3 linked regions of the Coturnix japonica genome follow. The protein of the gene in region 2 purifies or fractionates together with the protein of the main gene of each other region. This does not show direct contact. Links are inferred from orthologs where the notes say so. Each region holds a gene or a part of one and is shown on either strand. Other genes may lie near its edges. The genes, in order: SMC5, SLF2 and RAD18.

Region 1 (2,705 bases), on a different chromosome or scaffold from region 2:
CATTTTAGATATCAATCGTAGTTTTCATCCATTTACAAAATACATAGCAGTTAACTAATGAACTAGAAATGTATTTTAGGTATTCAGTGTGCTACTGGTAGTGTCTACTTAACTATTTAACAGCTGTATTCAATGTTCTATCGATAACATTTACTTTCAAAGACTTAACACCTACAGCCAAAACTCTACTGATTAATTCTGTAGTTAAAGATAAAAAGCTACGGTATGTACCATCACTCCAGCACAGCTAAAGACTGCTCCTGGTCATATCTAGTTTTACTTTAAAAAAGTCACACATCACTGAGTTTCATCTCTGCAAACTCTGGCTTCAACTGTTTCAAAAACACCTGGCTCTGTCACATCTTCTTGCTGTAGCAAAACAAAGACCTTATCCTTCCAGGAAGACAAAATGCAACAATGGCTAAAAAAAGTTTTAAAAGTAAAAAAAAAAAGGTAAAAAAAAGTTTAAAAAAGTAAAAAAAGTAAAAGTAACAAAGTGTATTACCAGCCTATTCATTAACATAGATCTATTTTCACAAAACAAAAACCAGTGCACAGCTACTTACAGACCATTACCTTCTCACACATCTTCTGTTTCATTCATTTATTCATTCAAAAACTTTCCATTTCATTCAGAAAACTTGGGAAAACATCCTTAATGGTGTTAGGGGAAAACAGTTTAATAAGAGTAAACTCCAAACTTATAAAAAAAACAAACTTCAGTTTACCGCAATACAACCTAGAACAATTAAACATATTTTTGATATTACTGAAAGTAACAAAATAAAGAAACTTCCTTTTTATTTAAAATATTATCTAAACAAGACACTATGAACTTTACAAAGTTTTAAGAACCAAAGCTCTTAATCATTGACCCTCAGCAGTTTCTCATCTCTTACAATTTCTGAAGATCTGAATGACTGATGCTATAAAATATTCTTCAAAAACACCAAATATTTTATATGTGTGCATATATGCATATATATATATATATATATATATATATAAACACATGTATCACTGTTCATCCACCCTCCCAAGTCGCCGCCGCCGCCTACAGAAAGACTTTAAGTTCCATTTGTTTGCCTCCAGCATATAAGGTCCATTGTAGACAAACAGCAATGTCATCTTTTCATTGTAAGTAAGATTCTGCAAGAGCTGCGGAAAAACACAAAACTCAAAGTCAAAACAGCTAGAAAAGATTACGTTCCTGAACTTAAATTATTAAATTAGATTATCTAAAAGTGGTGAAGAAGGTTAATGTCAAGTTTATACCTTAAAAGGTCAACACTACAGGATTAATTTCCTAATTTTTCTGACAGATGGTGTATAGATTTTTCCCTGAAACCCCTGAAGAGATGTATAACTCAGGTGATTAACATGTTTCACTTATTTCTTACAGATAGAAACATTTTCGCATAGTACCTTCTTGCTGCAAGTGAAGTCTTCACTTACTTGCCCTAGCCAGAATTACCTAATTTCAGATTACTTTGACCTCTAATCTTGCTCTGTAGGAAAGAAAAATTGATTCCCAATATGATGGTTGTTTGTACCATAGTTCGATATTACAACTGATTTTCAAACCCAGGACTCAGTCATGAGGAACACACTCACTTTTATAATGATTACAATTATCCAGCATACAGCTTCCCCTATCTTTATTCACATTAAGTGGTATCTCAGTACAATTCCTCCTAGTAGACCACTACAACTTCAACATATGGTTATCATCTTCTTATGGCTGATTTTACTGAAAACAAATCAGATTATTAAAAAATAAAAAAAAAAATCAAACAAGCAAACAAAAAAAAAAAAAAACCCAAAACACAAACACAACCAAAAATAAAAACAGAACTAAACAAAAAATATAATACAGATATAATACAGTCAAACGAAATCCTCAGTATTTTCTCTTCATAATAGCATGATGCTGCTAAACCGTGGTCCTACATACTCTTTGGTCTTCCTCTTACCATAAATGTTAGACCTTTTTTAAACTCTGAAGTTTCTTCTTGCTTCTCATCTTTGCTCTGATTTTTGGCTAACTCTACAAGTTCAGTTTTTTCCCCTTACCTATTCTTTGTAATCTGACAATAAGCTCAACTTTTAAAACAGACTCCAAATCCCCAGTCATCTCCTATAGCCCCCCACACATGAGAAGCACCTCTATTGGTAGAGCTATACATTCAACATCCATTCAAATAACTGTTGTTCCTTAAAATAAGAAAGAGTAAAGTAGAACAAATGGTAAGGACAGAAATCACAGAAACGCAAAATGAGACAGATATACAGAACAAGACAGACAAAAATAACACAACAAAGAAATGACCAACTGTGTGGAGATAAGTGAATTGCAGTTATCAGAAGGAATAACAAGCATCACTTCCCCTCTATTTTTATTTATTTTAGGAAAGTGCTATAGCTGGCTTTGCCTAGTTCTTTCAATTGTTCTTTAAAGGAAAGAATAGCACATAATATACCAGATTTTCTAAAATGCAGTAAAGGTGGGGATGTAGGAAAACTGACATCTGAATAGGAAGTATAAGGCCCATTCTTGCCTCCCTGGCACACAAATAATTTTAGTGCTTCTAGCTGCCTTGTGTTAGTTGAATCAGCCTCTGTTCAAAGCACAGCTGAACTGCCATCCTGTGTGATAGCCTTTTCAAGCTATGTCATACAAACTCAGAAAGTTAAATGCTGTTTTT
Region 2 (4,080 bases):
CTTTCCTCCTCTGTGCACAGTTCCCAGTGCTAACCTAAACTTGGAGTCAGGAGGAGTGCAGGGCAGCTTCAAGAGAAGCCCTGAGTTCTGACACAGAGACGTGCTGCTTGCGTTGCCTTTATTTCTAGCACAGGCTTTCTGAGAATCAGCTTCTGATAAAACCCATCTGTCCGAGTCTGAACTGGTCTCTTCTACATCCATACAATCAGTTTTCTGCTCCCAACTGTTCTCACAAGACAGCAGCGTTCTTGTTACATCCAGATACTTCTCACTTCTTCCCTGCTCAGGCTTGACACCTTTATCTTTTTCAGCCAAGATATTCCTGGGAGATGCCGCAGTTACAAAGAGTTTCCGAATCACAACCCTTGGCCATGCTGAACCCAGTGCCTTGCACACCGCATTGTTGTCTAATAGGTTTACACTGCCTTTTTTCTCAATTCCTCTCCGGAAGGCATCTAATATAGGACTTGTTTTTGGTGTCGGGTCCGGCATCTTTTTCCTTCTAACCCTCTTTGCAGGAGTCATTTGCTTCTCAAAGCATTCGGTGCGTAGAACAGACAGTCCAATCCCTGCATCCTTCACGTTTCCTGTGTCCGAGGAACACAACACGCTTCTGTCTTTATGGCCGAGCTCTGAAAGAGCAAAGGGAAGATTCATCATTCACAACCACAATACTGGGGAGGGAAGGGGAAAGAGTCTTGGAAGAGTCTTTTTGTATCTCATTGCTTGGTATTTCACCCCTCTCCCACACAGCCCAAAGTGAATTTACCCGATCACTTAGTGTTTGTTAGTAATACACAATCTACCTCCTATATCAAATCACAACTGCATGATATTTGACGTGGCTGTTGTTGCTATAACCACCTACCTTGAGCGTGATAAAACAGCTCTACCCACTACATTGCTACTTACAGACATTCACTGTAACAGGAAGTTAATTCTTCAGTTATGTTTTTAAGAAAGAAAAGTATAAATGTGCTCATTTAGACGTATTTGGCAATATGAAGTCATTGTGCCACTGCTCCTGTTTGGGAAGAGCCCACTCTTATGTAGACCTCCATAAGTCAAACTTTGGTTCTTATTTGCATTTTGTTAGTGGAAGATATTTATATTTACCTTGCTTTAAAACCGGTTTGAAGAACTCTGTAATAGCCTGGTTTCTGAAGAGAAAAGAGAAGTATTATCATCTGAGAGAACAGTGTCTAAACGTCCACACAGTGAATAAAGCAAAACGCTGAAGTTTATTTCTACAGGGGTTCTGTGGCTTTTCGTTTTGCTGCTAATGCCAGCAGCTCTTATTTCAACCTGCAGTGTGACGTGACTCAGCCTCGGGAACAGAAACGTACCAAACTTCACATAAAATACATGAGTTGACCTCGAAAAGCCTTGAAAAGCACCATCCTGATGGCAAAAAAAGGACAACGAATACACAGAGTCATACACAGAACCTCACAGTGTTCTTTCAGAGGATTATCACACAATGTTTTCTTCTTAGATCAAAGTTTGTTTCTAAATATCCCCAAGCAGCCAAACCGAACCATGTACTTTCACTTTCACTGTCAGGCAGCAACAGAACAGGAACAGAACTTGTAGCTCCACCCTTCAGGGTTATCAAAACAGAAGATCCATGTCAACAAACAAAACAAGGCACCGCTCACAGTGTAGGACAGTTGCCACTTGCCTCATACAGCTAGAAGCAAAAGCTCCTCGATCTGGCAGCCTCTAAGAAACCCTATAAGCCTTCAGCAGTTTGGATTTTCAGTACATGGGGAGGTTCATCAGGTCTGTGCTATTAACAGAACTTCTATGTGCATTTTACAGCAGGCACAGACTGGAGGGCACCACCAACAGCAACTGAAGGTTCCACTTTACAGTCCAACTGCTGAAGCCTACAGAGAGGCTTGCCAGCAAGCAGTGAGAGGCACATCAGGCACACAGGCAGGTATGACACTCATGGATTTTGAACGACGAGCTGAAAACAGCAGCCAGCATCAGCCCCTTCTGTCACTGCCAGGCTGCCTGCCCGGCACAGGGCAGATGAGGTGGAAGGGACGGCTGTGGCTCACCTGGGATGGAGTTATTAAGTTCTCTGAACAGAAAGACTCCATCGCCTTCCTGACCAACCTGAGCCAGCAGTCACACACACGGCAGAGAAGAACCACAGAACCACGTGTAATCCCAAGCTGGAAGGGCCACACGGTGATCACAGAACGCATTGGGTTGGAAAGGTCCTTTAAGGTCGCCCAGTTCCACCCCAATACAGGCTGTTCCACCAGCCCAGCACCCCTCCGACCCAGCCCCAGCACCTCCAGTGTCGGGGCACCCCCATGATCTCCTCCTGCCCCGATCCTACCCGTGCTGTCAGCTCAGTGCCGCTCATCACACCGCACACGTTGCTGCCCGTTCCCCTGCAGCCCCGCCGCCATCTCCTCCCCGCTCTGACGGCGCCCGGCCCCTCACACTGATCTCCGTGTTAGATCCGTCCCATCCCTACCCGCAGCTCCGGTCCCGCCCCACCATCCCGTTCCCGTTCCCAGGCCTCACTCCGGCTCCCATCGTTGCTCCCAGCTCCCGGCCATGCACAGTCCCGGTCCCGCCGCCCGCCCCACACACACACTGAGCTCTGCCCCCCTCAGGCCGTACCTGCAGTCCCGGGCCGTGGCCCTGCCCGCTGCCAGCCCAAAATGGCGCTCGGAGCGGGTAGCGGGCGGGCTCGGGGATGGCGATCCCGCTCCGAGCGGACGGGTCATGGCGCCTGTAGCCCGGCCGGTGCTGTGTGGAGGGGCTGAGGGCTGCGAGCACCGCGCCGCACCGCCGCCATTGCGCGGCACCGCCCGACACCCCCAGCCCTGTGAGCCGAGGGCGGGAGGCGGCCGCAGTACTGGGAGCGCTCGCTGATTGGCTCAGCGCATGAAGGACTCGCGCCTCGCATTGGTTCTTCACCTTGGCGGGAGGGACGGGGAGACAATGCCTGGCTACGATTGGCTGCGACGAGCGCGGGGGGCGGGACCGGCCTTCCGCGCCTAAAGGAGAAGGGGAGAGACGGGCACGGCTCCGCCCCGCGGCCCCGCGATCTGATTGGTCCGTGCACGGAGGGGGCGGGCAAAATCCGCGGCGGGAGCGCGCGCCGGGAACGCGCGGCGGGGCGGGAACGCGCGTGGGGCGTGTCCGTGTCGTGCAGCGGATCCCCGGAGCAATATCCCCTGCCTCTAACCCGGCTGTGGGGTCAGTGCCCAGAATCCCAATGTGAGGCTGCTGGGATGAAGGTCCTTCAGACTCCGGCCCCTGGCTCAGGGGGTTGTTGCCATTAGAGCAGGGTGCGGGAGCTGAGAGCTGAGCTCGTGGGCTGTGGCACTGGGTGGTTCCCAGGTCTGAACCTGTTGTAGGGCCCTTCCAAGCAGGAACACGGCTTTGTCTATCGGGGAAATACCCGGCTGGGACTCCCAGCCCTTCCCAGCACGGCTGGGGGGAAAACAGGAACCTGGAGGGGAAAAACAACCCAAGAAACTCCCTTCCCTCTGACCACGCTTCCAGCACAGCAAGAACGAGGAGGCTGCTGGTTTCCTCCATCCTGTGTGTCCCTGCTGGTCATTTCCATTTCTTCCCACTCCTGTAGGCTCGTGAAATGTCACCCAGTTTCTATCTGTGTGGCCAAAAGGATGTGAAAAAAAGTGACACGGGACAGAAGCGGCTCCCCGGGTGGAGGGGAGCTGAGGGGGGGGCTGCAATATGAGCAGAGCTCTTGCTGTGCTCCTTGAATTGGAGATGCTGGCTGTGTTAGGGATCTGTGTGCTAAATCCCTCGGATCCATCTCACACACTCAGGTGCAAAGCAGCCGCCAGCAGCTCGGTAATCTCAGCCCTGCAGCCTTCCGGGTGCTTCCGGCCCTGAAACACACACGGCCCCCAAAGGCACAAACACTTGGCAGATGTCAGCAGAGCACACAGGCACTCACAGCCCAGCCAGCAAGGAGCACCGGTGCTGCCTCCCACCCGTGTAATCTTTTCCCGTATTGATGTATTTGCCTGTTGCTGTAGGAGGACAGGGAGCGTTGGCTCAGTGCTGCAGCCCCTGCCAGCA
Region 3 (3,652 bases), on a different chromosome or scaffold from region 2:
AAATGAAAATTAACCCACACTGCAGTGTTCCACATCCTGTTAACAACCCAAATCCATGCTTGTGCCCTCAGCAGCCAGAATATTTGCATAAACAAAATCTCAGATTTTTGCACCATAAAACTGTGTTTGTTTCCTCTTCACGTCACCACATTCCTGTTTGTTTGTTTCTCTAAACCCATTAATATTGGGATTGCCGTTGTAACAGCCTGTAACATGATGAAGATTTCAAGCTCCTTTTGGACATTGTAGCTCTGCATTTGTTAGTAATCTCTCCCCTGAATTAGACTGAGAGGCTGTACTGCTCAGTGGAATAATTAGCCTTTAAGGGTGAGTTGTCACTCAAAAAATCTAAAAGCACGAACACCTCACAAAACCCCATCGGCTCTGAGTGCTCAGAGCATTCAGCACAGCATTTTGCCAAGGGAAAACAAAGCCTCAGTGCCTGACACACTTCAGCAGAAAGTGCCAGTAACCAGCTACAGAAACAGGGCATCCCTTATTCTGTGCTGGTTTACCTTCCAGCTGTAATTCCCAGTTATTTGCTTTTTGAGACCACTCAGTATGAGACTGACCTTACTGATAACAAGCCCAATGGAAGCCATGTGTTTCCAAGGTGTCCTTTCTCAAACAACCTAACAGAAGCTAATTGAGGCTATCAGCCCCATCCTGATAACCTGGTTAGCATGCCTCTTGCTTTATCACCTTACAGCAGAGGGTAGCATCCTAACTAGAGAGAAAGAGCAAACCCTCTGGCCTACACTGTTACCTGCTTTAATGCAGCTCTAAATTTTCCCATCTCTGCAGTAAAGCATTTACAGTGTAACAAGGTAGTAAGCACAACAGTGACAGCAGAGCAGCAAGATTCCAGGCCACAGCAAGTGAGGATTTGCTCAAATGTGAAAGAAGTGGGCACAGAAATAAAGAAGCTGCTTACCTTTGGAAGGCCTCAGGTACACAAGGTATCTCTAGAGTGATACCCTCACCTCCACTGCCAACCCTTAAATGAGGTCCGGCAAGGGGTGGATCCTGGCTCCTACACTGCATGCACCTAAGCTCCCCTGGGCTGGCCCTGCTTTCCTACCAGGTGCTCCATCACTGCTTCAAGTAGGGATTAGCATTGCCACTACAACTGTGCTTATGGACCAGGAAGAACCCCAGCATACAGAACAAGCACAAAACCAATAGGCATCCTCAGCCTGCGGCAAGCTGAGGGCTGGGGGAGCTCAGCTCCCACCTCAGGCCTCTCCCCACCACCTCCTGTCAGGTTCTGCCCTCTGCGAGGAAACACATCTGAAATGCTTTTCCCATGTATTGTTTAGAGCTTATTTCTTCCTGGCATTGTTGAAAGCTCAACATAACGTCAACAACTCCTTTTAGCAAAAAAAATGTTCCCGCCCAAGATGCTTGTATGTAAAGCATGGTGCATTTATTACATAATCCCTTTGGTGCTTCAGTTTTTCCAGCATTACTATTTTTTGTTGTTTTGTTTCATGCTGCATTTACGAAGGTCTTCACATCACATCAAGCGTCCTGCCAATACAGGGCACTGCTCAGATGCAATGTAAGGCACAGCTGTGCTGGAGATACATACCATGTGCAGCTCGTAAAACTATGGGTATTTCAGTAATAAAAACAACTGCAGACATAATTACAAATACTTCAAACACCAGGCATAAATCACCGAGTGTCTGAATCCAGTGTAAATTAAAAGACTTAGAAAGAGCAGCGGATTACATTTCTTTTTTAAATTATTATTTTTTAAGCTTGAAATAGAAGCCTGCCCTTAAGGAAAACGGGAGGCTGACCTTGGCAGGGGGGGTGGGGTGGGGAGCAGAAGCATCCCAGTGCTATTGCTGAGCTCCAAGGGAGCAGAAGGAAGCTCCTGACCAGGACAACAGTGCTGGCTGTACCTAGCAGAACAGCAGTGAGTGGAGCACGGATGGCAGCTGCTCCAGGGCTACCAGGCACTGAGCTCTGAGTTTATCCTTTAGAACTGTTTAAGCTTTGTTGGGGGAAAATACCCCACTCAGGGATTAATAAGTTCATGGGGAGTTTTTTTGTTTTTTGTTAGGGGGGTTGTTTGTTTCTGTAACGGGTTAGATTGGCGTTTTTAATTTTGCTTTGTATTATATTGCTAGACGTTTCTGCAAGGCAAGAAAGCAATTATGAGCCAGTTACATGAAATTAGAAGAGAATGATTCAAAACCACAAACAGTGTGTGTACAGCTGAAAAAAAAAATATTCTCAGGAATAGAAGCAAAAAGCAAGGGGAAAAAATTGCTAAAGATTCAGGCCCTTATTTAGCCTTTACAGAAACCTAGCTAAACTCAACAAAGCTAAATCTAGCTGCACTATGACATAATTTATATGCTTGAAGCAACAGAAGAACTCAAGGAAACAAGGGGAATGTGACCATATTGCAGATTTAAATACACCCATAAGTATCACCAGAACAAGTTGTCCCGACAGTGCTTTGCTCCTCCATGGTGAAAGCTGGGAAGCTCTGCGTGCACTGCATGCATGCACTGTGTATGCATGCATACACCTGTCCCATGGTAACCACTGCTTCCAAGAGTGCAAGCACTGTACAGGTGAAGTCCTGCATAAAACTCTCACAAGAACCTCTGCTTCTAAACTAAGCCTAAAGAAAGCTAAGCTGCTTACGTGGCTCCAAGGACAGACAAAGGGGTTTTGTTGGTGGTGGCTTGGTTGGTTTTTTAAAAGATCAATTAATGAGGAAAATGGATTGAAACTTGGATTTTACTCACGATAACCGGTGTGGATCTCATCTATTTCCTGCTCTGTCTGGTCCTTTGTAAAGGTCAGGCTCTACAGAAATCACACAAATGTTTATTTACTAGGAGGAAAAGTTGATAAAGCCATGTACTTTAAAACTAAAAACTAACTAGGGAAGGCTCAGTCATTCAGTGTTCTCACACCAGCTCTTAGTCTCTCATCCACAGACGTAACACATGTTTAAAGTACATACTGTCTTGCATTGCTTTCACAAAGACAAAGGACTAAGCCAAAATACCCTGGGTAACACCCAGCATGTGTGGGCCATGAAGTTCTCCCTAACCCTGGACAATAAACGTGCACCAAAAGTCACAAAAGTATCATATGTCATGGGAAAAGAACAGGCACTATTGCTAATAGGGAAGCAAGGAATGTGCTAGATAAATCCTAGAGAATTCTAGGAAGCAAAATATTCCCCACGCTACCATGGAGGGTCAAAGTCTTCCAGTACGACCAAGGGGAACATTACTTCAGAATTTTTATTGCAATCAGAAAAAAAATTCTCCTACTTAAATGGTTTGGACATATAGACGACAGCACTACGCTAAGAACTGCCCATGACAAATGGCTGATATGAGAAAATCAAGCAGGTTACAAGATGGTATATGCCAAGTATTCCAAGTCTGGAATTCTGGCAATCACCATAATAAAGCAGCAGGCAGACACACTGAGCGTCCACACTGCAATGTCTCCTGTGCGTCCCCCAGTTTAGGAACAAGGACCATCAGCTTACATTTTCACCACTTTTACTCAGTTCAAGCTGAAGCCGAATCTTCTCATTCTTTTCCAGCTCTTTAACAATCTCTGCGACTGTTTGAAAACACATGAAACGGATCGTTAAACAGGAGTTGTTAGG

Evidence for each region.
Region 1: the proteins of SLF2 (region 2) and SMC5 purify together in Homo sapiens (affinity purification with mass spectrometry; 3 studies listed by BioGRID and IntAct, with this or other methods). This does not show direct contact. The link is inferred for Coturnix japonica from reciprocal best matches to the Homo sapiens genes SLF2 and SMC5.
Region 3: the proteins of SLF2 (region 2) and RAD18 purify together in Homo sapiens (affinity purification with mass spectrometry; 3 studies listed by BioGRID and IntAct, with this or other methods). This does not show direct contact. The link is inferred for Coturnix japonica from reciprocal best matches to the Homo sapiens genes SLF2 and RAD18.

The regions. Positions count from the first base shown.
Region 1 is NC_029547.1:31,403,663-31,406,367, reverse strand, and holds the end of SMC5 (structural maintenance of chromosomes protein 5), read right to left. Parts: intron 1,159-2,705; coding exon 1,018-1,158; 3' UTR 590-1,017; downstream 1-589. UniProt on the Homo sapiens protein: Core component of the SMC5-SMC6 complex, a complex involved in repair of DNA double-strand breaks by homologous recombination.
Region 2 is NC_029521.1:20,245,222-20,249,301, forward strand, and holds the start of SLF2 (SMC5-SMC6 complex localization factor protein 2), read right to left. Parts: upstream 2,886-4,080; 5' UTR 2,751-2,885; coding exon 2,644-2,750; intron 1,161-2,643; coding exon 1,117-1,160; intron 633-1,116; coding exon 1-632. UniProt on the Homo sapiens protein: Plays a role in the DNA damage response (DDR) pathway by regulating postreplication repair of UV-damaged DNA and genomic stability maintenance.
Region 3 is NC_029527.1:16,639,590-16,643,241, forward strand, and holds part of RAD18 (E3 ubiquitin-protein ligase RAD18), read right to left. Parts: intron 3,607-3,652; coding exon 3,530-3,606; intron 2,830-3,529; coding exon 2,769-2,829; intron 1-2,768. UniProt on the Homo sapiens protein: E3 ubiquitin-protein ligase involved in postreplication repair of UV-damaged DNA. Postreplication repair functions in gap-filling of a daughter strand on replication of damaged DNA.